3 linked regions of the Elephas maximus indicus genome follow. The protein of the gene in region 1 interacts with the protein of each later gene in a biochemical or structural test. Links are inferred from orthologs where the notes say so. Each region holds a gene or a part of one and is shown in the gene's direction. Other genes may lie near its edges.

Region 1 (10,867 bases):
AGCATTCAACAGTGCCCAACATGGTAATTAGCACCCAGTTGGATGCTCAATTAGAATGACTTTTTTTTTAATGTTTTAAAGCACAGACTAGCTTAGTCTCTTTTCCTGCTCTTATTCTATGAGGCTAAACCCTCATATAATACACTTAAGTGTTAAGATAGAGCCCATGGTTCTCAAAATCAGTTGAGATTTTCCCCTTTCCTAAATATTCTTTCAATATAGAGAAAAGTACATAAATATGTGATGATGTTGCACTCTTATTCTAGAATTAAGTAGAGAAAAATGAGTTTAAGGTTTTCTTTGGATCTGGTTTAAAAGAGAAGCAGGAGGGTTATGCAGTAGGTTACTCTAGTTAGTTAAGGTATTTTTCTGAAAATATGGAACTAAAAATATAATTTGATTATGAAGACCACCTTTTTCTCGGTTATTTGCTTTATGGTGGTTACTCTCAGTCATCATGATTTCTATTCAAACCCTTGAGATCAATCTTGCAGTATCTCCTAAAATCAACCAGTTTATAAATAAGTCATATTTTGTAGGGGTCTGCAAACTTTTTCTATAAAGCAGCAAAAGAAAAAAAAAAAAAAAAACCGATGCCACCGAGTCGATTCTGACTCATAGTGACCCTATAGGACAGAGTACTGCCCCATAGAGTTTCCAAGCAGCACCTGGTAGATTTGAACTGCCATCCCTTTGGTTAGCAGCCCTAGCTCTTAACCACTATGCCACCAAGGTTTCTAAAGCACCAGATAGTAAATATTTAAGGCTCTGCAGGCCACATAGCATCTGTCACAACTACTCAAGTCTGCTGTTGCAGTTGAGTGAAAACAGCCATAGACAACACATAAACAAATGAGCATGGCTGTGTTCCAATAAAACCTTATTTTCAAAAACAGGTAGTGACCTGAATTTGACTCATGGGCTGTAGTTTGCCAAGCTCTACTTTATAGCATTATTTTTACTTTTATTATTAAAAATTTCAAATACACAGAAAAATAGAACACCATATAGCCATGATTTAGTTTTAACAATTATTAACATTTTGCCATGTTTACTTCATCTATTTGATTACCGAACTATTATAAAGCAAATTGCTTTCATTGTGAGATTTCACTCCCAACTACTTTAACATGAATCTTTAAAAATGAAAACATATTACTGCATAACTAACCTAAATCTTCAAAAATAAAAGCATTTTATTGCATAACCTAATAAACTTTATAATAATTCTCTAACGCTCTCTAATTAAATTTCTCGATATATCTCCAAAAGGCTTTTTTTTTTTTTAAACCAGGACTTTAATTATTTGGTGGAAACCCTGGTGGTGTAGTGGTTAAGTACTGCAGCTGCTAACCAAAGGGTCGGCAGTTCAAATCCACCAGGAGCTCCTTCAAAACTATGGGGCACTTCTACTCTGTCCTCTAGGGTCACTGTGAATGAGAATCGACTTGACGGCAATAGGTTTTTTGTCTTTTGTTTTAATATATTTGGTTGTTATATATTAAAAGAAAATTCTTTTAATCTAAAACAGAAGCCCTCTCCCAGACATTTTTATGTATGTGTATAACATTGACTTTGAGGAATACTCTGATTTTAAACGATGTGAACAATATTAGAATCAATACATTAATATAAAGCCAAATACAAAATATTTTCATTTATGTTATTCTTAAAGAGGCTCTGGTGGCACACGTGATTAAGCACTTGGCTGCTAACTGAACAGGTGGCAGTTCGAACCCATCCAGTGGTTCCATGGGAGAAAAGCCTTGTAATCTGCTTTTGTAAAGATTACAGCCAGGAAAACTCTATGGGACAGTTCTACTCTGTCACATGGGGTGGCTATGAGTCAAAATCAACTGGATGGTACCCAGCAGCAACAACATATTATTATTAACTTGTTTGCCTCAAATTCTCCTCTATTGTTAAGGTTTTTGTTGTCATTTGTTTGTTTTTAATCTTTCATCCATTGTTTCTCTTTGAAATAATATGTGGAGCTGATCAGGGTAATTTAGAGACATTTATGAAACTGTTATTGTTGTTGTTAGGTACCGTTGAATTGGTTCTGACTCACAGTGACCCTATGCACAACAGAACAAAACACTGCCCGGTCCTGCGCCATCCTTACAATCGTTGTTATCCTTGAGCCCATTGTTGCAGCCTCTATGTCAGTCCGTCTTGTTGAGGGTCTTCCTCTCCTTAGCTCACCCTCTACTTTACCAAGCATGATGTCCTTCTCCAGGGACTGATCCCTCCTGACAACATGTCCAAAGTACGTCAGATGCAGTCTCACCATCCTTGCTTTTAAGGAGCATTCTGGCTGTACTTCTCCCAAGACATATTTGTTCATTCTTTTGGGAGTCCACGGTATAGTCAATATTTTTTACCAACATCACTATTCAAAGGCATCAATTCTTCTTTGGTCTTCCTTATTCATTGTCCAGCTTTCACATGCATATTTTATCATATTTATGAAATTAGAGGTTCACATATAACATAAAAGCATAAACTAAAGGGTTTCTCTGCAGTGTGTGTGCCCACGCTATTGGTGCTCTGAAGAAGTTGTACATCAGTAGAATCCATCAACTTTAGTTAAAGATGCTATTTCGTTTTTCAAGAAGGTATTACAGTATCCAAGCTGTGAACAAATACAGAAATGTGGACACTTGGAATGATATTTTGGAGTTGGCAGCACCTTACAAGGGAGGAAAAAGTCCTCTTCCCAGGAGAATTCTGATTCCTGTGGAAAGCACTGTCAGTTTGCCAGGGAAATTCCACGGACAGAAAATCACTCAAATTTTATAAAATTTCCATGAAATGAAAACTACTGGTATGTTTGTGAAGATACACATACTAAACAATGCTCAGAGTAGAAATTGCATTCAGTGAGATGGGGTATTTAGTTAGGTGACAGTGTGATGTGGCATTACAGATGAGGGGACTGGAAAAAAGAATTGAGGAATGTGAATTTGGAAATCAGAGGGGTTTGTGTTGTGTATATTTTACAGTGTCTTGACTAATCAGAATAGGAAATAGGATCAGTAAGGAGCCGGGAAAAGGGAGTGAACCAATGGAGATAATAAACAAAAACAAACCTGTTGGCATCAAGTTGATTCCGACTCACAGTGACCCTGCAGGACAGAGTAGAACTGCCCCATAGAGTTTCCAAGGAGTGCCTGGTGGATTTGAACTGCCAACTTTTTGGTTAGCAGCTGTAGCACTTAACCACTAGCCACCAGGGTTTCCATAGAGATAAAGGAGCCCATAAAGGGAAAGGAATTAAAAGGTGCTGATTGGAAACTGGAGCAGAGATATAGTTCTCTCTGTTAAGGAAAAAAAATAGTGTGGATTTAATAAAGAGGTTTGAATTTAACAGAAAGCAAAGAGTTAAGGCTTGGAGTAAGAGAAAAGATAATAAAAGCAATGATGCTCTAAGCCCTTTACACTGTCCAGTATGGTAGCCACCAACCACACATGGTTATATAAATTTACATTCACTAAAACAAAATAAAAATTCAGTTTTTCAATCATATTAACTACATTCCAAATGCTCAGTAGCTAGCGTTTAAGACCCCAGACATCACTCTCCAAAGTGGGATGCAGAATGTTTTCTTAATAGATTTTATTATGCCAATTAACTTAGGTGTCCCCTGAAACCATGGTCCCCTCCCCTGCCCCTGCTACGCTGGCCTTCGAAGCATTCAGTTTATTCAGGAAACTTCTTCGCTTTTGGTTTAGTCCAGTTGTACTGAGCAAGCAGCCATCTAAGATGCATCAATTGGTCTCAACCCACCTGGATCAAAGGAGAATGAAGAACACCAAAGACACAAGGCGATTACCAGCCCAAGAAACAGAAAGGGTCACGTGAACCAGAGACTACATCATCCTGAGACCAGAAGAACTAGATGGTGCCCGGCTACAACCCATGACTGCCCTGACAGGGAACACAACAGAGAACCCCTGAGGGAACAGGAGAGCAGTGGGATCCAGACCCCAAATTCTCATAAGACCAGACTTAATAGTCTCACTGAGACTAGAAGGACCCCGGTTGGTCATGACCCCCAGACCTTCTGTTGGCCCAGGACAGGAACCATTCCCGAAGCCAACTCTTCAGATATGGATTGGACTGGACAATGTGTTGGAGAGGGATGCTGGTGAGGCGTGACCTTCTTGGATCAGGTGGACACTTCAGACTATGTTGGCATCTCCTGCCTGGAGGGGAGATGAGAGGGTGGAGGGGATTAGAAGCTGGCGAAATGGACACGAAAAGAGAGGGTGGAAGGAGAGAACGTGCTGTCTCATTAGGGAGAGAGTAATTGGGAGTGTGTAGCAAGATGTATATGGGTTTTCGTGTGAGAGACCGACTTGACTTGTAAACTTTCACTTAAAGCACAATAAAAATTATTAAAACAAAACAAAACAAAAAAATGCTCAGTAGCCACATGTGGTTAGTGGCTACCATACTGAACAGCGCACATAAAGAACATTTGCTCATTGTGCGCTGTTCAGTTTGGTAGCCACTAACCACATTTTTTTTTAACCACATTTGGCTGTCAGGACACCTCTGCTCTGCCACATCGGGATTCTGCCACACCTCCTCCCTGGAAAGTTGCTGGTGAAGTTGTTGCTTTAGGAATGCTCTAGCTGGTTGGGATTGTTGGTGCAGGACATTCAGTTAGGGGTGGAGTTAGAGTTAGGCTTGGAGAAGAGTCATTACATGGATGAAGAGGACTTGTGTACACCTTAGCACAATGCCCAGAATCCAAGGTGGATAAAACAGTTCCTTGCCACTGGAAAGCTGCGAGTATTGATCTTTTCCTCTCTGGTGCCCAGTGAGTCTTTCTAATACATTGCTCAGACTAAGTCATAGGTTGACACTCACATTCTATCATATCTGACTAATGAGAAATTTGACCTGAGCATCTCCTTGCATTTTATTTATTCATATCAACCAATTTTATCTTAAACATTCTTACTCACTGCAAGTAAAAATAGGCAGCCTATCTCCCTCCCTCCATGCTCCATAATGGTTGGCATGAAATTTCAAACAGCTGTTGAGTAATATTTTTTGCCACACATTTGTAGTGAAATAATGGCACTCTGGAGAACTTCTGTCCCTCAGAGATACCCTTCCTCTCTGAGGCATTTTTAACAGCCCTTTGACCGTGATCAGCATCTTATTAGATCTGTCTCCTGTTCGAGACTGCCACTTCAAACTCTGAAGGCACACAGTATCTGCAGGCTTTCTTCTACCTACAATATTTCGAGACATTGACAGGTGAGAAGAAAATATTCCAAGAACATGTTCAAACACTGCCTCATGAAGGTCACTATTTTCACAAAGCCCAGAGCTGCATTTAATTTCCTATTTGCATATGTGGGCAGCCATTTCTTCAGTGTTTTCCCCATGTTCTAATTGGCTCACTATCCCGGTTCTTGGCTCTGGATATGGCTATAGTCATTGGCTTTTAACCCACCTCACCTGAAGAGCAGCTTTCCATGTTTCCATTAGTATTTCAGGCACTGAACCTTGTCTCAAAAATTATAAACAGGATTTTAATTGGTGATTTTGTTTACTTTTAATTTAGCTTAGTGATATTTTAAGTTTTGTTTTACTGCATTTGAAAAGAGCAGAATCTTTAAAAGAAAAATAATTGTAAGGAGAAAATATTCCTTCACAGAGAAAGTGGAGGCTTTGCTGGGTTGAGGCTGGTCACTTAAAGAGAACTTGATTTATGGAAACAACCTTATTAATGCAAGTATCATAATTTCCCTTGTTTGAATAAATCCAAAAAAAAAAAATCCCACTCTCAAAATTAGCAAATTTTCTACACCTTAGACTAGTTAGAAAATAACTGAATCTTTCTACTGTGACCTGAGGGTTTGGCTATGACCATGGACCAAATAATCCCTTTTCAATAATATAAGCACCCACACTGCACTTGTCTTTTAATATGGGAAGAAGCAAAATGACCAGTAAATAAATCACAGGGTGAAAAGCCCCTAATAATTGTACAACTCTTTATCCTTTTGATCGATTGAAATGCCTGCTAGTGAAAACGTTCAGAGGAATGACTCTTCGCTGGCCCATAGAGAGCTGCGTTTCGGCTGGAAGAAGGGTGTGTCCCAGAGCTTTTACCTGGGAGCAATGATGATCTTGTCAAGCATTTCAGTGAGACCAGCCCAAGTTTTTAGGGTGGGGATCCAGACTGGTTATACGTCCCGCCAGTCCTTCTCCCAGAGGAAGGCAGAAACACCTCAAAGCCTGCATGTAAGAACATCTACTGAGAAATCATTTTAATCAGACACCAGCTGAGTGGGGGAAAGCAAAGGAACAGAGAAGAACAAACAAAACTCCTTGGTCTCGGATGTAAAAGAACCCAGCAGCGATGGACTGGCACTTCTTCAGAACAGCTGCTGTGCTGTTCATTTTTCTGGTAAGTGGACTCTGTCAAAAATCCTTCAGAATTATTCTCATTGAAAATGAGTGAGAACTTTTTAGAAAATGTTATTTAATGTTACTTCTCACCTAAACTCATTAAAAGTTCATGTTAATGACAAGGTGATTTTATGAACTAGATCTTTACCTAGTGCTTCCCTCTTTAATTGAAGACTCTAGATCATATTAATGCATCAATGTCAACTCATCCTATCGCATCTCTGAGACTGAAGTCCGTGCTAAGTCATGCTGGGAAAATATTGGATAGGAAATCCATATCAGTACTTAGTAGCACTTTGTTGTTCAAATTCTCTTTTGCAGGTAGGCTTTTAAGCTATATATTACAGGCATGTCCTGAATCTTAAGTTAAACATTTTTCTATTCCTTTAGTATCTTTGAGGGAAAATTCACGATAATTTTTAAAACACAAAAATAGGATCCATATAAATTAAAATCATAGCAGTTTGTGACTGTTGTTATTATCCAAACAATTTCAGTTCTATATGTGGTTAGGATCCACAAGGCTAATACCAAAACCACCACGCTGCTAAACTGATTTTATTTAAAACAAGATTTTTTAATTAAAAAAAATAGTGGTATAAGAGATGTATAAATGACATAGTAGGTGAAGGAATGGCTATAATTAAGGAGTAAGTGTAATTATTATTATACTTGTTCTTGCTACCGAACTGAAAGTAAGGAATAACTGACATAAAATCGTGCATTTGATGGTCAAATGTAATGAAAAGTCTTGCCACTGCCCCCCTTACCACATTATTACCTTTCTCCTTTTAGAGCTGATACTAAATGCAACACCCGTGTATTACATCAGTTTTACTTACGATGAAAATATTAAAAGAGCCATCTCTCTCACAGTAAGGTTAATGTAATCCAAAAAGGCAGATGCCAGGTAAATCACTCTCCAACTTGGCAGAGGCAGTGCCGTGGTTCATATTTGTTTCTACTTGCTTAATTTTTGAACTGGAATGTTGGGTTTGTATAACAACAAGTTAGCTCTTTTATTCAAGGTACAGTGGTTAGTTTAAATTCAGTTCCTTAATTGAGAGGGGTCATAATCGGTCAATTTAGTTATAAATGAGCATCAATAAGCTGGTAACTTTAGCTGTCCCTCAAACTTTCCTATTCCATTTACTCTTCAATGGATCTTTAGGATAAGTTGATATCATAACTCAGAACATCGCAGGAATCAACGTGCATTATACAGTATGCCATTTGTATATATGAGCATTTGTGCACTAATAATCAAATGCTTTTACCTTCAATTTCATATACATTTGATCCATTTAGGCCTACTGTAGATTCGATTGATTATAGTTTGTTCAATATGTACTAACTTTCATTGAATTTGTAAGATAGGCCTTATTTCTTGATTTATATGATTATTTCTCACTAATGACATCCTGTAAATTTCCTTTTACTAGCCACTTCCTAATTAGTCACTCTTCAGTAAAATGTATCCTTTTATCAGAAGCATGTATTCTTATTAAACTTTCTCTCTTTGGAGAGAGTTTTCTGGATGTTCATATTTCCTGAGCCTGGATAGTTTTTTGTTTTGCCATGTTTTACTTGAAATCAATCACAAGCTTCTCATACCCCTTATGAGAATGATTTCTCAAAGAACTTATTCTATTATGAATGAAAATTTTTCATTTTCACATGGGCATCATAACTTTTTTGTAAAACATTTCATTTTCTGAGGTTTATTAACAAACCACAATTTATTTTTACTACTGATTTTACCAGATGATTTTGGTAATTGCTGTTTGAAGTTATCGAATCTGTCTTTTGCTTTAAAAATACTTCCCCTCTCCCTCTCCCCCACCCCCAGCCCTGGCAAAAGACAACCACTACTGTACAAACTCTTCCATTACCATTGTTAACCTCACTATAAATGCTTGCTTTTATAAAATATGTGTAAAGTGCTAAAAGTTGATCAATGAAAACCCTTGTTAGGAAGTGTATTTGGTCAATTATTAAAACCTTTAAGACATCTAAATTTTAAGACATTAAACTTTAAAGAAAATCCATTTGAGAGCTGCTACTATCTGTTTACAAGCATATTGTATAGTCTGCTCAATATTTCTGAAGGTTTTAGACCTTGTTAAAGTTAGTGGGCTGGATCAGGGAGAAGTAAGCTGGAGGAGCTTCTGTTATAGTGACAAAGATTGCCACATGACTCATTATTCAGACAGGCAATAGCTTACACCTGCTATAACACAGCAAGCCAAATAAATTTTATTGGTTTTGCAATTATTTTTCTTCCTTTACTGCTTCTGTGAAATGATTGTACTTGGGGGGAGGGGATATGGGAGTAGAGATTAGAATGTATTTTCTCTAAGCTAGAGAGCAATCTTACCTTATGCACCAAATATAAGAAATCTGTATGAATGGTTATGACTATACTAAAAGGTCTGGCATGGTCATTGCGGAAAGCAAAATAGAACTAGTAGAATTTCTGTGGTTCTAATGTTTTCTGAAAATGACGTACACATTTGCCAGGTCCAATTCAAATCAATTCAGATCTCAAGGTCTCTTTCTCTATAAAGACAAACTTCTGCAGTTTAAGTTCAAAGAACAAGAAAACAATATTTTTCATCTATTACCAAGAATGATCTGATTTCTTCAGTTTGTCATACTAGCCTATCTTCTCCACTTTCCACGGATTAATATTTCCTTTCAGAAAACCCTCTGGCCCCCTGATAAACTAACTGTAATTCGAACTTAGCTGCAGTTCTCTAAGATACAAGCAGGAGTATCTCTCAGCACTCATATTAAAATACACAGAAGAAAAAAAATTATTATACAGCCCATCAATTCCTTTGAATCAGACATCTTAAATTCCCATACTTGTGTTCACTGATGCCTAGAGCAAGAGAAAGGCTAACAAATTAGTACAGACCAAACAGAAGAGAAGCAAAAGAGAGAACTCTTTCACCATCTTTTCTAACTCAAAATTTATGCCTTATTGTACATGTTTTATAGTGATATACATTATAGAAATTAGCTTTTCAATAAAATATTTCATAGAAAATGGAAGCAGTATGCCTAGTAAGTGAAACTTATAAATTGCCTTTAAGCATACTAATTTCCATCTATACAGTATTCTTAGATGCTTTATTATTTCGCTCCAAATTTAGGATCAGCATCTTCTTTCACCTTTTCAAAAAAAAAAAAAAAAAAAACACAAGCATATCATCACTGCAAATTTCTCATCACCACAAAGAAATCTTTGACCTCTATAAAAATCACTACTTTAATTTATGTAACAAATACATGATGAGAGCATTCTGTATGGTTCAAACAGGAATGAGACAGTTATCAAACCTAAGTCAAAAAGCATTTTGGTCAAGAATGGCCCTGCCTCTGGTATCAACTTTCCTGATAGATCAAAACACTCTCCCTGTTGAGCCCAGAGGAGGCCTCAGAATCCTCTTCAACAACTGCACTTCAGGAAGCCACTATCAGTTGGTCTGAGTTACCACAGAGTAAAAATATTTTGTCATCCCTATTTTAGTGAGGCATTGGAAGTATCTAAAGGAGCAGGAAATTCTGACCTGGTAAACAAACGGCCTGACCCTGAGGACAAGATTCACCTGTTCAATGAGACTTGTGAAAATAGAAAAGTGACACTCTTGTCTATACCTAGAGCACTTAATTGCTGATAGCTCTTTCTGCATGATACATGCTTAAGGCCATTGCCGCTGAGTACCCCCCTGTCCTAACAGAGCATCGCCTATTGCAGAAGCAGGGAGCCTTCTCAGCATCACAGATAGGCTTACTGTGCTCCTGTCTACCGAGGGGAGGCCCTAGCAAAGTGTTGGGTCATGCCACCCTTGCAGGTCACACTTGGCATGAAAATTCCTTCAATGGACTGATGCAGGTCAAACACCATCAGCTGCTGATCCATCCTTTCCCTCAGTCTATGAGAAAGGAGTGCAGCCGTTTACACTTGTCTAATGAGAAACTTGTGGAGTACAGTTTTACTCTGCAACACATAGATTAGCCATGAGTTGGAATCAACTGGGCAACAACTGGTTTGAGTTGGAGTGAGAAACCACCTCTCCACAAATTAATGGCTACCTGTTGCTCATTAAATCACCTGACTATAAGTTATTTGAGGGCAGGTTCTGTGTCTGATTCACCTTTGAATTTCTCAAACATAATGACTTCTGCCAGTGCAAGATTTCTCGATAGGCATCTAATCACACAAAGCAGAGACACCAGAAGGGAATTTTGAATTTGGGGGTATTTTATATTTCTCTTCCCCAACACACTCCAAAAAAAAATCATCAAAGCATTAAACATAGAAATAATTGTGTTGGACTGCCCAAATGCTTATTTTTATGGTATAGTGTTACACTTACTTAGCATTTCATGTAGGGGTTAAGCCATAATATTTTTGCTGCTTAG
Region 2 (10,952 bases), on another chromosome or scaffold:
TATCGAGTGGGTGCTTCAAAGGTGTGGCTGAGGAACTGGATGTCTTATTTCATTTAATTGATTTAAATAGCCAGTGCAGATACAGGACTTTTGCATCATGGTGGAAAGCTGTAAGGACAGCTGACTGCCTGCTCTGTGCCCACTTTGTGCCTACCACCCCTCTCTGCTATACTGCTGCCACAACTGGTCCTTCAGTTCCAAGGACATGCTAGGCTCCTGGCCTTCCCGCCCCGTCCCCCCTGCGTGAGCACCTTCTCCCCTTCCTGAGATGGGCAGCTACCTCCCGTGCTTCAGGTCTCAGCCAAACCATCACTCCCTGACCACCATGGCTGACGTCCCCTTCTGTATTCCGTCAGCCTCCATTTGTCTCCTCCACAGCACTGAATACAATCTTGAATCACTTTGTTAATTCACTTGCCAGTTTACTCCTTGTCTGCCCCATTAGAATGTAAGTCCCATGAGAGCAGGACCCAAGCCTGTCTTTTTGCATCACTGTGTCTCCCGGGGACTGAAATGGTATCTAGCCCATTTAGGTGCTTAATACACATTTAAGTGACTGAATGAGGATTTCCTAAGCAGAGGGAAAAGCATACGGCCAGGGCAAAGAGGCAGGCATTGGCATGGGGCAAGTGGGCTGGGGCACGTTGGAAACAATATGATAAGGGAAAAAAACTGGGGTCTTTCGGAGAATGGAGTCGCTGGGTAGTGCAAATGGTTAATGAGCTTGGCTGCTAACTGAGAGGTTGCAGGCACCCAGAGGCACCTTGAAAGACCTGGCGGTCGAAAGTCAGCCATTGAAAATTCTATGGAGCACAGTTCTACTCTTACACACATGGGGTCACCATGTTTGGAGTCAACTCAGTGGCAAATGGTTGTGGTTTGTTGTATTTAGAAACTGGGGAAGGGGTAGCATGCCTCATCAGGGAAGCTTATAAGGTTCCTAAGATAGGCAGCGATTGAGTCCACCATCTGACCAAAGGAACTCAGCTACAAAAGACTTAACAGTGGGGAGCTGGGCCCGTGGCAGCTGTCCAGGCTGTCCAAAGGGGCCTGTAACCAGGGTCTGTTGCAGAGGGACTGGGCTGAATACGGTGGGGCCATCCTAGTGGGGGAGTGACTTCTTCCCCTGTCCCTAGTTCCTTGGGGTTGTTTGTGGGAGTTTGGGGCAAAGGTAGAGGTGACCCCTCACCTGGGGAATTGGAAACGGAGCAAGGTGAAGGTTTAGCCCAGTCATTCTCAGAGGCTGCAGGAGCACCAGGAGGCCTCTCAGCCTTTACCTGGGCTGCGCAGCCTCCCCCTTCTCCACTCATCTCCAAAAGGGGAGCTCTATAAGGGCAGAAACTTCATCTTCTTCACCGTTGTGCCCTCAGTGCCTAAAACAGAGTCTGTTTTAGATGCTCAATAAATGCTTGTCGAATGAATGAGTCCATGTCCCATTCTGTAGTGAACATTGCTGTCACCGGGTTTTCTATGTTCATAAAGATGAGGAGCCTTGATTGAGAATTGGAATCCGGGTCACACAGTGCTGTAGGGAAGACAGCAAAGAGAGTTAGAAGCTCATTCATATTCATTCATCACAATGACTCTGAGGATGAACATTTACTCATCTTGTTTCAAACCTAAAGTCCAGTGAACTTCTTTCAGGAAGCCTTCCCCAGAGCAGCCCCACAACCTGCAAACTGAAATCAGCCTGTACTCGGTAGAATTTTTTCACCATCTTAAATACGGGTCCTGACGGTCTCCTGAAAGCATGCCATTTCAGAGCTCAGCTCATGCGACATGCCTAGTTGACCTCTATCTTGGACTTTATGAGTATTGCCCTCTTCTCTGGCCTGTTGCTGAGGCAAGGCCCCACATGGGGTGGGCTCAGGCAGGCAAAAGAGAGGTGAAGGAAACAGCTCTGGCCTCCTGGTTGAAAACCACACACTTGAGCCCCCATTGCAATCCTTGCAGCTTGACTATACCTCCCTCACTTTGGTCGAAAACATGAGATGTCAGAAAGGGCCACATAAGCTAAAGACTCCATCAACCTAAGACCGGAAGAACTAGATAGTACCCGCCTACCACCAATGACCGCCCTGACAGGGAACACAACAGAGAGTTCCTGATAGGTCAGGAGAAAAGTGGGATGCAGAGCTCAGATTCTAGTAAGAAGACCAGACTTAATGGTCTGACTGAGACTGGAGGGACTCCAGAGGTCATGGCCCCCAGACTTTCTGTTAGCCGAAAACTAAAGCCATTCCCGAAGCCAGCGCTTCAGACAAAGATTAGACTGGACTATAAGACATAAAACGATACTGGTGAAGAATATGCTTCTTAGCTCAAGTAGACACATGAGACTATGCGGGCAGCTCCTATCTGGAGGTGAGATGAGAAGGCAGAGGGGGATAGCAGCTGGTTGAATGGACACGGGAAATACAGGGTGGAGAGAAGGAGTGTGCTGCCACATTGTAGGGAGAGCAGCTAGGGTCACCTAACAATGTATGTATAAGATTTTATATGAGAAGCTGACTTGAACTGTAAACTTTCACTTAAAGCACACACACACACACACACACACACAAAAGAGATGTGACTGCCCGTTCTCCTCCTCCCAGGTCGGAAGTCAGGCGATGGTTCAAATCTAGGCTTCACCACTGATGTAACCTTTCTGAGTGTGTTTCCTCACCTGTGGAATGGGGATAATACCTCGTTGAGTTGTTAAGGGGAGGATGAGATCAAATAATGAATGTCATGCACAGCAATGGCTCAACAGGTGGTCGGCGCCCCCTCTGTCCAGTCCCAGACTTCCTTTCCTTTGAGGTTGGGAGTAGGGAGGACAAGGGTGGGGGGAGGGGGGAAATATTGTCCAGAGAACCTGATTCAAGATTCCCCTGCTCTACAAATCCCCACAATTGACATCAGAATCACAGAGTATCAGGACTAGGGTCTCCACCTGTCTGTCAGTTTGTCCTATCTTGGTGGCCTGTGTGTTGCTGTGATACTGGAAGCTATGCCACTGGTATTTTAAATGTCAGCAGGGTCATCCATGGTGGGGAGGTTTCAGCGGTGCTTCCAGTCTAAGACAGAATAGGAAGACAGCTCTGGACATCTACTTCTGAAAGCAGATAGTGAAAACCTTATGGATCACAAGAATATTGTCTGCTATAGTGCTGGAAGATGAACCTCCTGGGTTAGAAGGTGCTACACGATAGCCGCGACAATGAACTCAAACATACCCGTGATCATGAAGATGGCACAGGATCAGGTAATGTTCCCTTATGTTGTACACGGTAGCTGTAAATTGGAATTGACTCAGTGGTAACTAACAACAGCAACGGCGCTCCAGTGGACTTTGGAATCCTCGAGTCTACCCCCTTACTTTACAGATTTGTGCAGGGGGCCCAGGGAAGGGACTTGTTTAGGATCATGAAGTTAGTTAGCAACCTAATTGGAACAGAAGCCCTGCTGGTGTGCCTTTCATGCCGCGTGATGGAAATGGGTGCTTTTAAAAGATTGATCCATGGAATGGTTTGGGGCCCACTGCTTGCCACAGGGAAATCCCCGAGGAGATAGGCTGACATCGCCATTAAGGTCCCAGGCTCTGGAGCCAGGCTGCTTGTGCTTGGCCCTGGTTCTGCCTCTTACCAGCTGGGTGACCTCACTGTGCCTCAGTTTTCTTATCTGAAAAAGAGAGATGATGGAGACAGTACCTACCTCATAGGGTCATTCTGAGGGATTGAACGAGATGGTCCATGTAAAGGGCCCAGAACCACGCCTGGCACATTGAAAGAGCACAGGAAATGCTGGCTATTGTTATCAATATAAATAATGTGGTTAGGTGCCATTGAGTCAGTTCCGGCTCATAGCGACCCTATATACAAGAGAACAAAACACTGCCCAGTGCTGTGTCATTCTTACAATCATTGTTATGTTTAAGCTCACTGTTGCAGCCACTGTGTCAATCCATCTCACTGAGGTTTTTCCTCTTTTTCGCTGATCCTCTACTTTACTAAGCATGATGTCCTTCTACAGGGACTGGTCCATCCTGATAACATGTCCTAAGTACATGAGACTACGTCTCGTCATCCTTGCTTCTAAGGAGCATTCTGGCTGTACTTCGAAGGCAGATTTATACATTCTTCTAGCAGCCCATGGTATATTCAATATTCTTTGTCAACACCATAATTGCAAGGCATCAATTCTTCTTTGGTCTTCCAAATAATATCAGTATCAAAATAATAGAGAAGCTGCTAGGACAACTGAACTTCATACCTGGAAACAATTTTGAAGAGAATCAGTTTCTGCTTCCTTGGGTTTGCCTTTTAGAGCAATATGGGCTACTCCAATCACCTCTTTTAGGGCTCTTCTACATCCTAAACCAAACCAAACCTATTGCTGTCGAGTCAATTCCAACTCATAGCGACCCTATGGGACAGAGTAGAACCGCTCCATAGGGTTTCCAAGGAGTGGCTGGTGGATTCAAACTGTCGACATTTTGGTCAGCAGCTGAGCTCTTAACCACTACGCCACCAGGGCACCTTGTACTTCCTACAAGGTCGCAAAATCATCGTTATTTAAAGACTTAATTAACAATTATTACAGCTAGCATATTAGGTTTTAGATAGGCCAAATGTGATATAATAGAGTTGAGTTTTTATGGGCCGTCATGTGTACTTTACCATGCATTGAAGCCCTTACATAATTGGTGTGCACTCTACTTTAATGCCCACTTTATAGGACTTTTACAAGGGAGGTCAGATAGTGTGGTAGGAAGAGCACTGGACTAAGAGTCGCCAGACCTGGTTAGAATTGAGGCTGTACCACGTATTAACTGGGTGGCTGTGGGCCAGGCACCTCCTCTCCTCAGCAGTAAACGCAGAGGCTGAGCCGGATGATGTCCAAGGCTCTGTCCAGCCCGGACACTCCATGGCTGGAAGCAGAATCTTAAAATGTCAAGTGATGACAGAGGCTTAGAGGTGCTGAACCTTTGTATATATGACCTGTTGTTGGTCACATCTCTGGTTTATTTGACGCTGAGTTTGTGAAAAAACATTGCTCAATTATAAAACTGTTTCTATTGGAAACTAAGATCTGCTTTACAATAATCCACTCTGCATAGGGCTACCAGGAAGGCAGTGTGGGGAAAGCTGAGGTTCCCTGAAGGTAACCCCCACTTCTCAGGCCCCTTATATGGTCCCTTATCACCCTAGGGCCTTGCAGTCTTCTTGATTTTTCCTCGACATATAATTCCTAATGAACACAGATTTCTGATTTTCCCTTCCTCTGCAGATTAGCAGGGCAAACTAATGAGACACGTGAGCTATGAGTGGCAACTACATATGATACCCAAAGTGATGTTGTTACTGAGTGATGTCAAGCCAGATCCAACTCATAGCAACCCCATGTGACAGAGTAGAGCTGCCCCGTATGGGTTTCTTGGCTGCAATCTTTATGGAAGCAGATCACCAGGTCTTTTCTCCCTCAGAGTGGCCAGGTGGGTTTGAACTGCCAACCTTCCAGTTAGCAGCTGAGCACTTAACTGTTTGCACCACCAGGAAGCTGATAGTATAACATAGCTGGAGGAGACCCGAAAACAAGAAGCTGACCAGGCTACACTACTCCACGGCTGATAACGTATGTTCAGAGTGAGAACCTGAGCCACCAAAAAGTATGTAAAGTATGTTCAGTATCTTTTGCTTACGGAAGCAAGGCAGGCTATGATATCTTTTAGAAAGATTTCCATTAAAGTAGCTTCGAAACTACTCAACTCCTGTTAAAAATACCAAATTTGCTGGTGTAGGCTATCTCAGTGCTTGAGGAGGAGGCGACTACAACAATAAAGCACCATTGCATGTGTCCACAGGGATATTGTGCACATAAGAGAATGAACTTGGTAGTGGCGCACACGGTTAAGTGCTCAACTACTGGTCATAGAGTTGGCAGTTCGAACCCACTCAGGGGTACCCTGGAAGACAGGCCTGACGATCTGCTTCCAAAAGACGACAATCTTGTAAATACCATGGAGCGTTCTATTTGCACGCCTGGGGTCACCATGAGTCAGAATTGATTCAATGGCAACTAACAACGAACAGCAACAGTCCTGGAATCAGATACTCACGGTGGAGTCGTTTTATGGACAAGTCACCCTTCTAGTGTTTCAGGAAGGATCTAGGTAGGATTCAGGGCAAACTTAATTTGCCTTGAATTAGCTAGCATTCCTTCATTCAACCATTCAAAACCCTTTTTTTATACGAGCTAAGAATGGAGTTTCAGAGAGAATCTACTGCTAAACCAAAAAAAAAAAAAGGAACCCGGTTGCCCTCAGGTTGATTCCCACTCATAGCGACCCTATAGGACAGAGCTGAACTGCCCCACAGAGTTTCCAAGGAGCACCTGGTGGATTCGAACCGCCGACTTTTTGGTTAGCAGCCGTAGCACTTAACCACTACGTCACCAGGGTGTCCAATCTACTACCAGCAAGGTGTTATTCCTGGTCATACCCACACGCGACAGGTGTACAACTTTGCGGTTTTGTATCCCAAGTCTGTGGTCCTTGGTGTGGGCTTCACGGCCCCATCTCACGCTCTCCGCACTGCAGGCTGCCTTACAGGAGAGTGGGTTGTCTCCATAAGGCTGGGCACTCCCTCTGAGCAAGGACTGGCCTCTGCCATCAGTTTGGGAGCCCCCTCTGACAGCGCTGGTCTCAGCCAAGACATCAGCATGAAGGGGGGAGGGAAGGCTGAGGGAGAGAACTCTTTAGGCTCCTGAGTTGAGCACATATTTTCTCCATGAGCCGGCAGGAACAGGACAGAGGGGCGTCTCCCTGGGGCCTCCATCGCCTGCGCTGCTTCCTGCGCGCCGTGGGGAGAGGGAAGGGAGATAAAGGAAGAGGGAAGGGAGATAAAGGAACAGGGAAGGGAGATAAAGGAAGAGCGCGGGGAGATACCGGCCGTCCCACACGCAGGACGCGCAGCCCTGCCCCCAGAGCTCTGGCTCCCGCAGCGGCAGGGCCCAGCAGCTCCGCGTCTGAGCGGCGGCGGCGCGCGGCCGAGTGGAGTGGGTGGTGCAGGGCAGGGGTGGTATATCCAGTCTGACAGAGGGCGGGCCTCGTCAGTGTCAGCAGAGGGACGAGCCGGGGTGGAGGCGCCAGGAGCAGCTGCCGGGAGCTCTCACCAGGACCACTCATTCTATGGCCGTAGGGAGCCGCTGAGAGCCACAAGAGCACGCTCCGCCTGCCCGCCGCGCCTCCCGCGTCGCTTTGCTCGTCCAGGCCCACCCCGCGCGCGCCTCCCGCCACCATGAACCACTCGCCGCTCAAGACCGCCTTGGCGTACGAATGTTTCCAGGACCAGGACAACTCGACTCTGGCTTTGCCGTCGGACCAAAAGATGAAGACCGGCACGTCGGGCAGGCAGCGCGTGCAGGAGCAGGTGATGATGACCGTCAAGCGGCAGAAGTCCAAGTCTTCGCAGTCGTCCACTCTGAGCCATTCCAACCGAGGTAAAGGTCTGGCGACCGCGTGGCCCGGGGGGCCCTCCCGCGCACCTCCCCGCGCGCGGGGGCCAGGCCGCGTGCGCCCGGGGGGCTGCAGGTGGCCGAGGGGCTGCCGGCTGGAGCAGGGTAGTGCGCGCAGCCGAGCCCCCGCCGGTGCAGACAGACAGTAGCGCGGCCAGGAGCCGTTCGCCGGCTCCACGAGTTCGGCGGCGCGCCACTGGGCGCAAAGTGGGTGGCTCTCCAGAGTGCCAGAGGCTGAGGGCCCCCTTCAGGGTCGTTCTCCGAGGACCGGAGGACTTAATTTCCTGGATTGCTGCTCGGGTAAAGAAAGGGGACCAGCCCCGTGTCCTATCCTGTCTCCCGCCGGAGCAGTGGTTGAAGTTGTGCGCCTGCTTCCCCGCCCCTTCCTGGGCTTCACGTTCTATTGCGCCCTCAGTCAGGCGGGACCCTGTCCTGGTGCGGCCAGTGCGTGGCGGCGGAGTGTGGCGAGAGGTCGCTGAGGCAGGGGTGCGGGCTCAGGAGAGGCGCTGTGGGAAGTGGAGCCGATGGGGAGCTGGGACAAGCCTCTGATGCTCCAAGGCACATCCGCGGGAGCCTCCTCCTGGAAGAGGCAAGTCTGGTCCGAAGGTCACGCGGGGCGAGTGTGCTCCTTGACGAAGGAAAATGGACAGGGATCCCCTCTTTTCCTTGTCGCTAACACAGAAACCCCCTTCCCACTGATTTCCCTTACCACACCCAGAGTAAGTAGGAACAAGCGTCCTAGGCAGAGTAGGGAATGGGGGTGTCAGGGGTGGGGATCCCACCGGGCCCAGGGAGTATCCCCGCAGAATCCTCATGGGTGCTTTTCCAGTCTGGGTGCTGGGCCTCAGTCCCCCAGGTTGCAGCCTCTGTGGGTACCAAAGCCCCCAGACTGGGGGTGGCTGGGAGAAAGGGATAAGGATCCCAAAACTAGAGGAGTAAGGTGCAGACCCTGACATGTGGGGACTTTTCAGACCACATACCTTAATACAAAGAATTCCCAGTAACAATCACACACGAATTAGTAAATCTGTGATTTTTATTTATTTTTTTAATTTATTTTTTGTTCTTTTATTATTTCATTCTCCTGAATTTAGTAAAATGCCAATACAGACTCTGCAGACTGCAAAATGTTGGTGTTGTTAGTAGCCGTCAAGTCAGCTCTGACTCAGTGCCACCCCATGTGGGCTCAGTAGCACAGGTCAACCAAGATTGATTTATTGAGCAAGTTGCTTGTGAGAGGTGGTGGTAGCGGAGTGGTAAACAGCAAAGAGACACCAAAAGGCTGCGGTGTGTGTGCCCTTTGTCCTTCCCAGGCTCCTGGCTGCTCTCACACCAAGTTTCCACCCGAGGTCACGCGGCTCCAGAGCATTTGCCCCTTCCCGTTTCTTGTTGTGCCTTGGTAGCTGCTTATGAGCCTTTTTTGGAAGTAGGTTTGGAGTAACAAGTGCTCCCATTTCTGGCTATAACCCAGAGCACAGGTCAAATCAACCTACTGTCTTCCCTGAACATGCCTTACCTGTCCCCTTGCCCTCCCACCCCGTCCCTAGCCTGAGCTCCTATCTCACAGTTCCAGAAAAGTCTCACACTGGTTTCAGATGCCCCAAGCACCCCATCTTACTCCGACCCATCCAGATATTGACTGAACATCTGTCTTTTTGGGGTGCTGTGTTTCTGGTCTTCACGTTTGTGGGTAACATCTAAGTTCCCCTGTTTACTTCTCCACCCCAGAGTCCCCCAAGGGGCTTCAGCCAGGTGAGGGTTGGCTCCAATGGCCAATGCATACCTCTCCAGAAATGGGGCTCTCCAAGGACTTATCCTGTAGGCGCGTACCCTCTACTCTCAGCTTCTGGGGAGGCTCCCAAAGGGGGCCAGTTTTCCCAGTAGCATCCTAGCTGGAAGAGGTCGTTCGGCTACTTGGAGCTGGTGTTTCTGGTTTATCTGGCTTCATTTTCATCAGATTTCCCATCCTCTCCATCAAAACCACCCAAGCGTTCCCTGTTTGGCTCTGTGGCTGGCTTTACTCACCCTGCTCTCTCTTACTCATATTGGTTTCCATTCCTTGGGCCTCCTCTGGTTCCTCAGAGGGGTGAGTTGGGTGCTATGGAAGGACCGTTAAAAAAAAAAAAAAAAAAACACTGTTGCCACCAAGCTGATTCTGATTCATTGTGACCCTATAAGACGGAGTAGAATTCCTCCATAGGGTTTCCAAGGAGTGGCCGGTGGATTCCAACTGCCGACCTTTTGATTAGCAGCCGAGCTCTTAATGGAAAGACCATATCCCAGGCTATTCCCCTTGTACCCTGGACAGACCCTCACTCTTCTTTAGTCTCTGGAGAGTGAAGAGGCCAGTATCCCTGGCATCTTTGATCTTTTTGGTCCTCCTGAATCCCATCCAGGGCCCACCTAGTTAAGAACCCTTGCCCTAAAGATGACCACCCACACCCCACAGGCTGCCCTTCAGAGTGCCTGCTGCTCCTGTACCCTGTAAAGAACAGTCAGGGCAGTTCCCTCAGGAACAGGCCACCCCACCCCTGGCAACAGCACTGACTTTTTCTCAGAGCCTTCCCCAGCAAAGTTTTGTTCTGTTAGGTCACTGAGGAGGAATTGAACCACCACAGGCTAGAAAAAGGAGCCCCATGGAGAAGCCCAGAACCAAATGCCCATGTCCACCCATGCTCTCCCTCCCTGAACACAGTAGATCGAACAGACCCCTGGCCCTGGTCAGGCAGCCCTGGAGGAGGGTGAGGGTCCTCTCTGCGACCTGGGGACATTGCAGGCAGAGGCTTCTCTGAGCTTGCCTATCCATCTTAAGCTGGCCCCTAAGTATTATTTCCCATGGCTTCAGAGGGTCTCTGTGCACATCAGGGTGCCTGGGGTGCTTTTCTTCTCACGGGAAGCCAGATCATGTGTGAAGCACAAGGAAAATGAGAGACCTGGCTGCTCAACAAAGATCCTTGCTGGGTAAACTTGACTCCTCTGAGGCTGGGAAAGTCCCTCCAGGGTTGATAATGAGCTTCACTGTACGGGGGGGAAGTCCTGGGCACACTGGTTATCCAGCCCAAAAGGAAACTCTTCTCCACATCAGGGTCTTTATAACTTCCTTTGGCGTCTCTTCCTAAAGCTTACCCCAAATCTCACTGGATCCCATCCCACACACCACCTGCCACCACCTTGAATATACGTCACACACAGTTTAAGTAAATGGGCTCCCTTTGTCGAAGTCTTATTCTGGGGAAATCGGAACACTAATTTGCGTGGCACTAATTTGCTTAGGGAAACCCTGGTGGCGTAGTGGTTAAGTGCTACGGCTGCTAACCAAGAGGTTGGCAGTTGGAATCCACCAGGTGCTCCTTGGAAACTCTATGGGGCAGTTCTACTCTGTCCAATAGGGTCGCTGTGAGTCGGAATCAACTCGATGGTAGTGGGTGGTAATTCACTTAGACAAGTGTGGGTCC
Region 3 (10,072 bases), on another chromosome or scaffold:
GACAAAGGGCAGCAGAAAGGGTAGGACCTCCTCTCCAGGGGTTCCCAGCTCCAGGCAATGCTTGGACCCACTCCAGCCAGAAGAGTTTGGGAGCCCAGGGAGGTGCTTCTGCATCCCTGTCCTCTCCTCCGGCCCTGAAGGGGTCACCCTGAGTCATCCCACCCTTAACACGGGGTCGGGGGCAGGGGCAGGGGCAAGATGGAAGTGGAGGCCCACATACCACCGGTCTAAACATTTAAGCAAAAACTACGTTAAATAGGGTTTATCTTGATGAGTATACTCCCACAATGGCCTAAAAGGTCAGGGTGGAATTTAGAATTCTGACACTCCTCCGCAAGTGGCAACCCCCAGGAGAACTGCTCCCTGGCCCCCAGCCCTGAGCCCCAGGACCATCTCCCCTTCCTGTCCCACCCCTGGCTCTACCCACAACAGGAAGGGCCTCCAGCACATATAATGGGTGCAGATAGCCCAGCTCGCATGTCCTGCTCCCTGGCCCCAGAATAACTGCAGCCCTTGTCACCTCTCTGGCTTAAGTGTACGCATACCAGCTATGATGCGACTGTCCTTCTCAGAGGAACAGCCAGAATAAGGGGCCCACAGGCCCTGAAAGCCAAGTCAGTGCTGGGCAAAGGATTCTGAGTTTTGGGTACCAGGGCGTGGTCCCGAAGGGAGAGGTGTGAACTCTGTATGCTTGTCCCTTTGCCCTGTGTGGAGGGGCACAACCCCAGCAGGACCAGAGTGGGGGCCTTCTGAAGGCAGGACCAGGACAGGAGCCCTCTTTCCCCCTGGGCAGAGAGATGCCTCTAGGTTTTTGTATTGCCTTTGATGCAATGTCTGCAACCCAGGAAGAACTTCCAATTGTCTGCTCTCCTTTTCTTCTGCTGAAAAGCCAGGGGAGAGGCGCCAGTGTGATTAAAAAGTACCGCTATCGGCCTGAGGAGTCCCTGGGTGATGGTGACACACATGCTTAACGTACTCCGCTGCTAACTGAAAGGCTGGCAGTTCCAGTTCACCCAGATGCACCTCGGCAGAAAGGCCTGACGATCTACTTCGGAAAAATCAGCCATTGAAAATCCTATGCAGCACAGCCCTTCTGTGACATACGTGGGGTAGCCATGAGGCAGAGTCGACCCCATGGCTACTGGCACTAGATCAGCCTGAAGTTTGACACTGTTCACCCTTGCCCTCCCTCTATAGAGGTGGCCACCCCTTAGGCCACCTTAGGCTGAAGAGGAGAGGAGAAGGGTGTGTGTGTGTGTGTGTGTGTGTGTGTGTGTTTGTGTGTGTGTGTGTGTGTGGTGGGAAGGGAAAACCGAGGTGTCTGGTGTTCCTATATCTGAGTCTGTATCCGTGTGTGTCCATGAGTGTGTCCCTGAGGTTTGAGCGTGGAGGACTGTGTGGGTGTGTGGGTGTGGGATCTAAATCTCTATCTGCCTCTGTCTGGGGAAGGGGCCCTGCAGGGAAAGGGCTGTGTCTGGACAGAGAACAGACATTCTTCCACCTCCTTATATGGCCCAGAGGCCTCCTGGACGGTGAGGGGAAATGAGATAAGCTGAGGAGGGGTGGCCTGGCTGTCCGGACGTTGGCAGTTGTACACCTTCTCCAAGAGAAGCGCCTTCCCCCTCCCCTACCAGTTCCACTCCCTCCCGAAAGCCCCTCTTTGGACCCCTTTGGCCATTTACTTCTGTCTCTGGGACAGCTTGGGATAGGCCACCTTGGTGCCTTTTCATTCTTTACTCTGAGGCCCCAAAAAGCTGCAAGGTTGAGTTAACCATGTGTTTTTGGTAGTTCTGGAGCTTCGAGCAAGAGACATGAGTTTAAACTGCAGGAATAGGAAATAGGCTAGACGTTAGAAGGAACTTCTCTCTGTTCGAATAAGGAGACAAAGGCATTTAAAACTAAGGGAGAATGGAGAACTTCTTTTGCCAGAGATTTGTCAAAAACAGAAATCCCTGCCTTTAAAACCGTGGAGGCAGGGAAGTGGATATGATGGCCATGGGGCCTTTCCTTCACTTCAGTCAGTCTTCCTGAAGAGACTGTGGTCACAGTGACCCCCTTCTGTCTACCTGCACATCTCCTCCCCCATGAGACCAAAACCCCTATACAGACAGCTGATTTTAGTCAATACAACTTGCTGTGTCCTCAGTGTCTGGCAAGCACATTGTAGGTGCTTGATAAATGTGCAGAACATTTCCTGATCTGGGTGGGGGTACAGCTCTTATCCCAGTCTTCCCTGCTGCTCTTGTGGGTGCTTCCACCCAGCCCCAGTCTGTGTGCTTAACTTTGAGGCCAGCGTGTTGCAGCATGTTCCAGGGTGAGACATGCAGGGAACATTGCTGGGAAGACACACACGAGCACCAGTGGTGCGCACACGCACACACACACACACACACACTTTATCCTGAAGCCTTATTTCTGCCCTTCCACTCCACCCAAGCTCCTCCACCCCTCTATAGTCAGCCAGCCCTACCCCACTTATATGCTGAAGTCAGGAGAAAGAAGAGGGAGTTAAGCTAGGCTTGGGTTTGGGAACTGTGTGTGTGAGCGCGCACGCACGCACGCACACGCACGTGTGCAGGGGTGGGAGGGTGGGCAGGAGAGGTGGGAGGGAGAGGAAGTGACATCCTTCCACAGTGGTGACAGCTTAGGATTCTGAGCTCTTTTCCTCTGAGCTCTTTTCCTCCCAAGCCTTGGGCTGGCCACTGCACTGTGTGGCAGGATGGAAAGCAAGTGGGTGGGTGGGGGTAAGGTAGGGATAACAATGCTGAGACCGGCTGGAAGGGGGGCGGGGTGGTACAGAAAGCCAGGCAAAGGGCAGTGGCCCTGGCATGTGTTCAGGAATGTTGACGTCTCCCTGGCCCCCTCCAGGAAGACTTCTTGGATGGCACGAGCTTCAGAAGGGAGAATGTTAGCCATAATTCCCTCGCTGGTGGGGAAAGTGGTCAAAGATGCTGCTGGGGTACATTCACCCGGCCCTATCCTGTGTGTGCTAGCTTTGGAGCTATAGTTTTTTGGGGGGCGGGATTCCTTTCCTGAGCAACCACTCTCCCTTCCCTCCCCCCACCACAATGCACACACACACACACACACACACACAAGCTGAATGAATGAGTGTCTGTAGGATCCTTGACATACTGTGCAGCTACCAGCGGGCATTCATTTTATCGACCACAAAAATAAAATACTGGACCCTGGTCTTAACCTGCCTATCAGGAAGTTCTATCCGAAGAACCCAGGCTCTTCCACCAGTGAGGGGCTCAATGCCCACGCCTTCTATGCCAGTGATAGATTTTCTTTAGATCTGCTGCCTTATTTCTTCCAAACTCACCAAAGTCTCCTTACACCACGTTACGGATTGAATTGTGGCCCCCCAAAATGTGTGTCAACTTTGCAAGGCCATGATTCCCAGTATTGTGTGATCGTCCACCATTTTGTCATCTGATGTGATTCTGTGTGTTGTAAATCCTAACCTCTATGATATTAATGAAGCCCTGGTGGCATAGTGGTTAAGAGCTCGATCAGCAGTTCAAATCCACCAGTTGCTCCTTGGAAATGCTATGGGGCAGTTCTACTCTGTTCTATAGGGTCGCTAGGAGTTGGAATTAACTCGAGGGCAACAGGTTTGGTTTGATTTTAGGGTGTGTTGTTAATGAGGCAGGATTAGAGGAAGCTATGTTAATGAGGCAGGACACAATCTACAGGATTAGGTTGTATCTTGAGTCAATTTCTTTTGAGATGTAAGAGGAAATCAAGCAGGGACCTCCTACCACCAAGAATGATGAACCCGGAGGGGAGTGTGTCCTCTGGACCTGGGGTTCCTGCATTAAGAAGCTCTTAGGCCAGGGGAAGATTGATGACAAGGACAGAGAGAGAAGGCCTTTCCCTGGAGCTGGCACCCTGAATTTGTACTTCTAGCCTCCTAGACTGTGAAAGAATAAATTTCTCTTTGTCAAACTCATCCATCTGTGGTATTTCTGTTGTAGCAGCACTAGATATCTAACACACACCAATACTTCATCTTTGTTTCAAAAAATCGCTCTTCAATGTCTCTCCAAGTGTTGTTTTTGTCTCTTCCCACCCTTTCTTCATTGCTTTGATATTTTATTCCACCAGGTGAACCTGTGATTTGGTGGGCCTTGTAATTAGAACAGTTCTAGCTTTAGGATGTGCCACTTTCTAATTTTGTGTCCTTTCTGGACCTCAGTTTTCTCCTCTTTAAAATGAGGATAGTTTTGTTGTCCTAGCAATTTTCCAGAATTGTGAGAATTAAAAAACCCGTAACATGAATTTAAATTCTAACATTTAGCAGTTATCCAAGTCCTTTCACAAACCTTACTTTATTTATTCCCCACACACCCTAATGAGATAGTTATAATTAATGTACCCACTTTACAGATGAGGAGAAACAGGCGAAAGGTGAAGTAACTTGTCTAAGATCATATAGTCACTAAGTGGCAGAACTCAAACCCAGGCGTACTAACTCTAAATTCCATGAGCATTCATTTCATCTTTAGGGGGAAAAAAAAATTCCAGCCCAGCAAAATGCTGTATGAAATGCTATAAAAGTATGTTTTTACTACTTTGGGGCAAAGATGAATAAGCCCAAAGAAGCTTCATGCCTGACGCTGAGTTAGCAGGCCAGTGAAGACGTCTGTCCCTTCCCATGGCGCCCTGTGACTCACCTGTTGGACAGGTAGGGGGAAGGGAGAGTCATGAGTCTTACCTGCTCAGAGCCAGGGTGGGGCAAGACACACCCCATCCCTCCCATTGGTTCTTTCCTTATTCTTACTGACAGTCCCTTGCCCAAACAAGAAGAAGTAAGCCCCTTTCAGCCAATAGGTGCGGAGCTAGGATGGCATCTCAAGTTGGAGTCCGTCCCCAGAGGCGACTGGCAGTCCCTGGGGCCAATGGCAAGTCGATAAACAGAGGCGGCCGTGGTGGGGGCCTGAGAGCGAGGCTCCGCCCGTTGATGGGACAGTCATGCGAATTAACCAGTGAGCTTGCTTCAGCTGGTGGGAGTCTCTCTAGGGGGCGGAGCTTCGAGGGGGCGAGAGGCGTGGCTTGGCTGTCAGGTCCCTTCGCCTTTTGTTCGGTTACTGAGTTGCTGCCTTGGCCAGAGTCCGGTGCAGCCGCCGCCCGAGCGCGCCGACCTCAGTTCGCTGCCCGCGCCGGCCCCGACCCCGGCCCGACCCAGACCCGGCCCGGCTAGGCTCACACGCAGGTGCGGACGATCAGGGGCAGGGATCGCTGGGGCGAGGGAAGGGGCGGCGAGGGGCCAGAAGGTCCCAGCAGTCTCGGGGCAGGTGAGGGCGGGTGTAGGGGGCGCCACCCTGCACCGGCGGCAGGGGGCGCGCTGGGGTCCTGGGCGTGGAGACTAACGGAGCGCGAGATTCCGGCCCGGCGCTGTTGGGGGTTTCGGGATCTGGAGATCAAAGAAGGTCCGGGAGGGATCAGGGCAGGTGCTTCCAGAGTCGTGTCTTCCTCGGGTCGGAGAAGCCCGCCCGACGCCCGGCCCCTGACTCTCGCCCTGAGCTTTTGGGGAAGACTTTGACCTGTTCCGCCTGCGTCCCAGGGCGCACTCAGCTGTCAGGAATTTACGGTTTGGGAAACTTGCTGCCGCTGGACTCTTTGGGGCCACCCCTACCCCACCCCACGCGTCATCCTCGCTTTCCCTCCCTCCCTACTCCCCCAGGCCTGGGTGGGGCCCTATTGTCTGCGACCGGCTTGCCCAACTGTGGGGGCCAAGCGCACAGTTTCACAGAGACGCGGCCCCCACCTGCCGAGCAGGTGAGCGCACCGAGGCCAGAGGCCCAACCCTCCCTCTCTGCGAGCCTGGTCGGCAGTGTACCTGGGGCGCCTCCCTTCGCTCGGGTGGGTGCCGGGCTGTGGATCCCCCAGCGGAGGTGGGATGGGGCAACAATGAGGCTGATGCAGGGCCCTGCTCAGTGCCCAGCTGGTTTCTGCCCCCCGTTGCTCGATCAGGATCTTGGCGGAGCGGGTCTCTGCGTGGGTAGAGGTTTCAGGGCGGAGGGGTCACCTGGCCCAGTTTCCAATAGCTTTGGCTCCCAGAGTGTTCATATGGGAACAGGGCTACTCTTCCTCTCTAACCTCTTATTTTTGGAAAAATCACCCAAAGCAAACTTTCCAGGAGGAAGTATTCCAGAAGGAAGATTTCTCTGGGGGCTTTCCTGCCTCTTTGACCAGAGTGTCCCCCAGACTTAGAGGGACCTTCTTGTGGGGCAGAAAGCCCCTTTCCCCAGCTGGCCCCAGGCTGGCCCAGCCTGTCCTCCCTGCCCAGCCCCCCATCCTGTTTGCTGGGCCCCTGGGGCCTGAGGTGGGGGCCGATGGGGGGTGTGGGCCAGAGGGGAAGCAGCTTCTTCCTTCTTTTCCTGCCTCCTGGGGGACCACCACACCCCCTCCGATGAGGAGGCCTGGGCTAGTAGCCCTCCCTCCCAAGCTCTGCTTCCCCCACCACCACTTAGGAATGGGGGTGCGGTGGGACTGGGCCAAACTGACGGGGTGGGGGGAGTGACTGTTCTCATTTTCTTTCTATACCCCAACGCCCACGCTGTTTAGCTGGCTGGTAATTGAGGCCGAAGACCTTGGAGCTGGGAGGCTTGCTTTCCATTTGACTTCTGAATTATGAAGGTGCACTCTTTGTGGAAGCTTGTGCAGTCCTTTCCCCACCACCTCCCTTTCCTGAGAGATTTTGATGGGTAAAGTGGGCTACGAGGAAGGCTTCGCTTAGGTAGAGCTGCAGAGCTTCACTAGGCCCTCCCTGCCCCCCTCATTTCCTGAGAGCCCCTCTCCTCTGGCCCAAGTTAAAGATCTCTACCAGGCTTTCAACAATATCTTTTCAAAAATCTAAGGTGTGGTCTTTTTTGGAGGAATTTGGAGCCCAGCTTCCCTGGGGGACACAGAGGGAACAGAAGAGCCAGGCTGTCCCTCCGTCCTGGGGAGCAGGGGTGGGTGGCGGGAACATCACTTGGCTTGCCCTGACTCACTGGGGACCCCTTCTTTCATGGCTATGGATGGGAGAGTTAGGGAAGGAGGGGAGTCAGACCTGGGAACCCAGCTGCCCCCACCATGGGATGCCCTGGTAGGTAGGGTGCCCTGGGCTGAGCAGGAGGCTGGAGAGGTAACCCCAGGACTTCTCTGTTCGTGGGGTCTGCACCTCTGGGGAGCCACAGGGGCATGGAGTTTGGGCCCAAATAAGTTGTTTACCCTCCTCTCAGTGCCAAGGTGGAGAAGGGGAAGGTGTTGTAACTACCGAGGCTAAATAATTAGTTTAGCTAATCTGGTTTGTGGCTGTGATAAAAAGTTAATACTGAGGAAGCATCGCTGAGAGGCGCCTCATGAAAACCGGCTGCTTACTGGAGGGGAGGGGGATAATAGAGGAGGGGAGGGGGATAATAGAGGAGGGAAGAGGAATAAATAAGGTAGGATCAGATTAGTCATTTCTTGCTAGATCAAGCCCCAGCTTGGGTGACCTGAGCCCTCTCCAGCCCCACCTCCACCCCGCACCCCAGCCCCACCCCATCCCCCCTGGAACCTCTGGTAGGGCTGCCAGGACTGAAGCTTTGAGAAAGCAGCATGTAGGAATGAAGGTCAGGCTGGGCCCTGGAGCCTGTTTTTCTTCCTGGAGACCCCTGGAGGGGAGTACAGGTGTGGGGAGAGGGGATGCCTCTACAGGGCCTGGGAGGGACTAGGGAGAGGATCCCACTTGGAATGAGCTGGGACAACTGACTAGTGTACAGAAGGGCTGTTTTTTGGAGTGGCATTATAGCGGGGCAACTCTGGGCACAGGGATTTGGGTTGGACTGAGCTGGGTTTGAATGCCACCTTTGTCACTCAGTACCTATGTGGCTTTGGTCAATCACTTCATCTCTCTGAGCCTCAGTGACCTCCTGGGTAAAATGGGACAATAATAACTACGGACCCAGTAAGTGAGGGCAGTGGTGGATGAGTGGTAGGATTCTTGCCTTTCATGTGGGAAACCAGGGTTCTTGTCCTGGCCAGTGCTTCTCATGCACAGCCACTCCCCATCTGTCAGTGGAGGCTTGTGTGTTGCTATGATGTTGAACAGGTTTCAGCAGCACTTCCAGACTAAGACAGACTAGGAGGAAAGGCCTGGTGATTTATTTCCAAAAATCAGCCAATGAAAACTCCATGGGTCGTAGTGGTCCAATCCCCGGGGTTGCCATGAGTCAGGGGCCGACTAGATGGCAGCTAACAAGAGCACCACCCAGTACGTGCTTGATAAATGGTAGCTTTAAGAACAAGGGAAGACTATGCAGATACTAGATACAAAATGCTCTCATGAACCGTTCTCACTGAATACTTCCCGTGATCCTTAGAGGCAGGTATCGTTATCCCCATTCTACAGATGAGGAAACTGAAACTCAGGGAAGTTAAGGAACTGGCCCAAGGTTGCACAGAAGACCCAAGCAGGGCTGGGACTGGTATTGGGGTCCTCTGGCTCCAAGCCCAGAGTTGATCCTACCATATCACCCCAGTGGAGCTCCAGGGAGAATTTTCCTGTTGCTCATTTTTCAGAGCCTCTACTTGGGAGATTGGAGAATTCAGAAACGCCCAGAAAGGTGTGTGGGGGTGGTGAAGGTGGAAGCAGATTTATCAGGTGGGGGTGACTCATGTCCCCGCCTCCAGCCTTCTGAAACTGCCCCTGTGCCTTGGTTTTTAGTTCCTGGTGGAGAGGGGCTATATTCCAGGACCAGGGATTGTGGTGGAGGTGTAGGGCTTGGCAGGGGGCAGGGGTCAAAGCTGCTGCCGCCTCCTGCTTTCCAATTGGGCAGAACCCTGGGCTGTTTTAGGCTTAACTGTGTGTAGGAAGTGGGAGTTGCCTGCTTTGCTGGGGGCTGGGGCTGAGCCAAAGTAAAGTGGGAGTGCCTACTCCCTGTGGTGTGGAAAGAAGTGAGAGCAGATTTAGGCCTGGGCTAATGTCCTGCTGGACTGTGCCACAGGGGGCTGCCAGGCTGCTCTTCAGGGGAAGCTGGCTGTCCTCTGCTTTGGAGCCTGGGAGACCTGAGGGCTGGGGGGTACAGGCCTTTCTGATGATGGGAGTGGGGGGTCATGGGTGCTGTCTGTCAGCCAGAGCTTTGGTTCTTCAGGAAGTAGCTGGTGTCAGACTGTTCTTAGACCTGCCTGGTCCTGGCACCTCTGCCAACTGGGCACCGGAACGGGCCTGGGAAACAGGGTGGGGGAAATCCTATATGCAGTGTGGCAGCCTGGGTGCTGCGCCTATCACCATTGGGCTTTCAGATCCCTTGAGGTCAGGAAGGGACTCCAGGCATGGGGGTAACTGATATCAGAGAAGAGAAGGTTGAGGGGTATGTCATGACAGAGAGGGAAAGAATGAACTCGGTCCTGGCTGATTGCTGTTAAAAGGGTGATAAGCTTATCACCACTGAGGACACAAGAGCCACTGGGATAGATGCTTTTCTAGAAGGAATGAAAGCTAGACAGGAAGAAGGACTTCCTGTCTGTTAGAGACAAGATCTCGAGTTGAAGAAGAGTGAGAGGGAGAGATGGAGGCTTGGGGTTGACTCTTCTCTGAAGGGGATGAAGCAGGGCCCCCTCTGTGTGAGCTGGGGGAGGGCTGGCAGGAATCACACCTGTGGCTGAGTCTGAGGTCTGCTTGGGTCCCTGGGGAAACTCTTAGTGTTATGTCTTTTGGGAGAAGAGGGGCATGGCAGGGAGAGGGGCAGGTGTCCATGGCCAGGCTGGGCCAGTGACCCCTGTAAAGAGAAAAGAGTGGTGTGGCTGGCCAGGTCACTAGAATTTGTGTCCCTACAAGTGACACCGTGAGGCTTCTCTCCCGGGACTTGGCTGACTCTAGTGGAGGTCTGTGGATGGACGTGGACTGCCTCATTTTCCAGCAACTTCCTTGGCCAGGCCTGAAAAGAAAGCTCTCTGACCATTTCCCTTTGCTCAGCCTTCTGGCATCTGAGCCTTTGGGGGCCCTTGGGCAGGAAGCTCAGCTTTCTGTCACCTGTGTGCGGGTTAACACATCCCATGTCTCTCTGTCCCCATTTCTTTCCTCACTATGAAGACA

The links.
Region 2: the proteins of DSG1 (region 1) and PKP1 form a complex in vitro, tested with the Homo sapiens proteins (2 studies listed by BioGRID and IntAct). The link is inferred for Elephas maximus indicus from reciprocal best matches to the Homo sapiens genes DSG1 and PKP1.
Region 3: the proteins of DSG1 (region 1) and JUP form a complex in vitro, tested with the Homo sapiens proteins (2 studies listed by BioGRID and IntAct). The link is inferred for Elephas maximus indicus from reciprocal best matches to the Homo sapiens genes DSG1 and JUP.

Annotation. Positions count from the first base shown.
Region 1 is NC_064829.1:38,711,342-38,722,208, forward strand, and holds the start of DSG1 (desmoglein-1), read left to right. Parts: upstream 1-6,386; coding exon 6,387-6,434; intron 6,435-10,867. UniProt on the Homo sapiens protein: Component of intercellular desmosome junctions. Involved in the interaction of plaque proteins and intermediate filaments mediating cell-cell adhesion.
Region 2 is NC_064836.1:9,780,710-9,791,661, forward strand, and holds the start of PKP1 (plakophilin-1), read left to right. Parts: upstream 1-6,943; 5' UTR 6,944-7,280; coding exon 7,281-7,482; intron 7,483-10,952. UniProt on the Homo sapiens protein: A component of desmosome cell-cell junctions which are required for positive regulation of cellular adhesion.
Region 3 is NC_064837.1:48,805,144-48,815,215, reverse strand, and holds the start of JUP (junction plakoglobin), read left to right. Parts: upstream 1-5,080; 5' UTR 5,081-5,221; intron 5,222-5,400; exon of another isoform or gene 5,401-5,599; intron 5,600-6,576; exon of another isoform or gene 6,577-6,648; intron 6,649-10,072. UniProt on the Homo sapiens protein: Common junctional plaque protein. The membrane-associated plaques are architectural elements in an important strategic position to influence the arrangement and function of both the cytoskeleton and the cells within the tissue.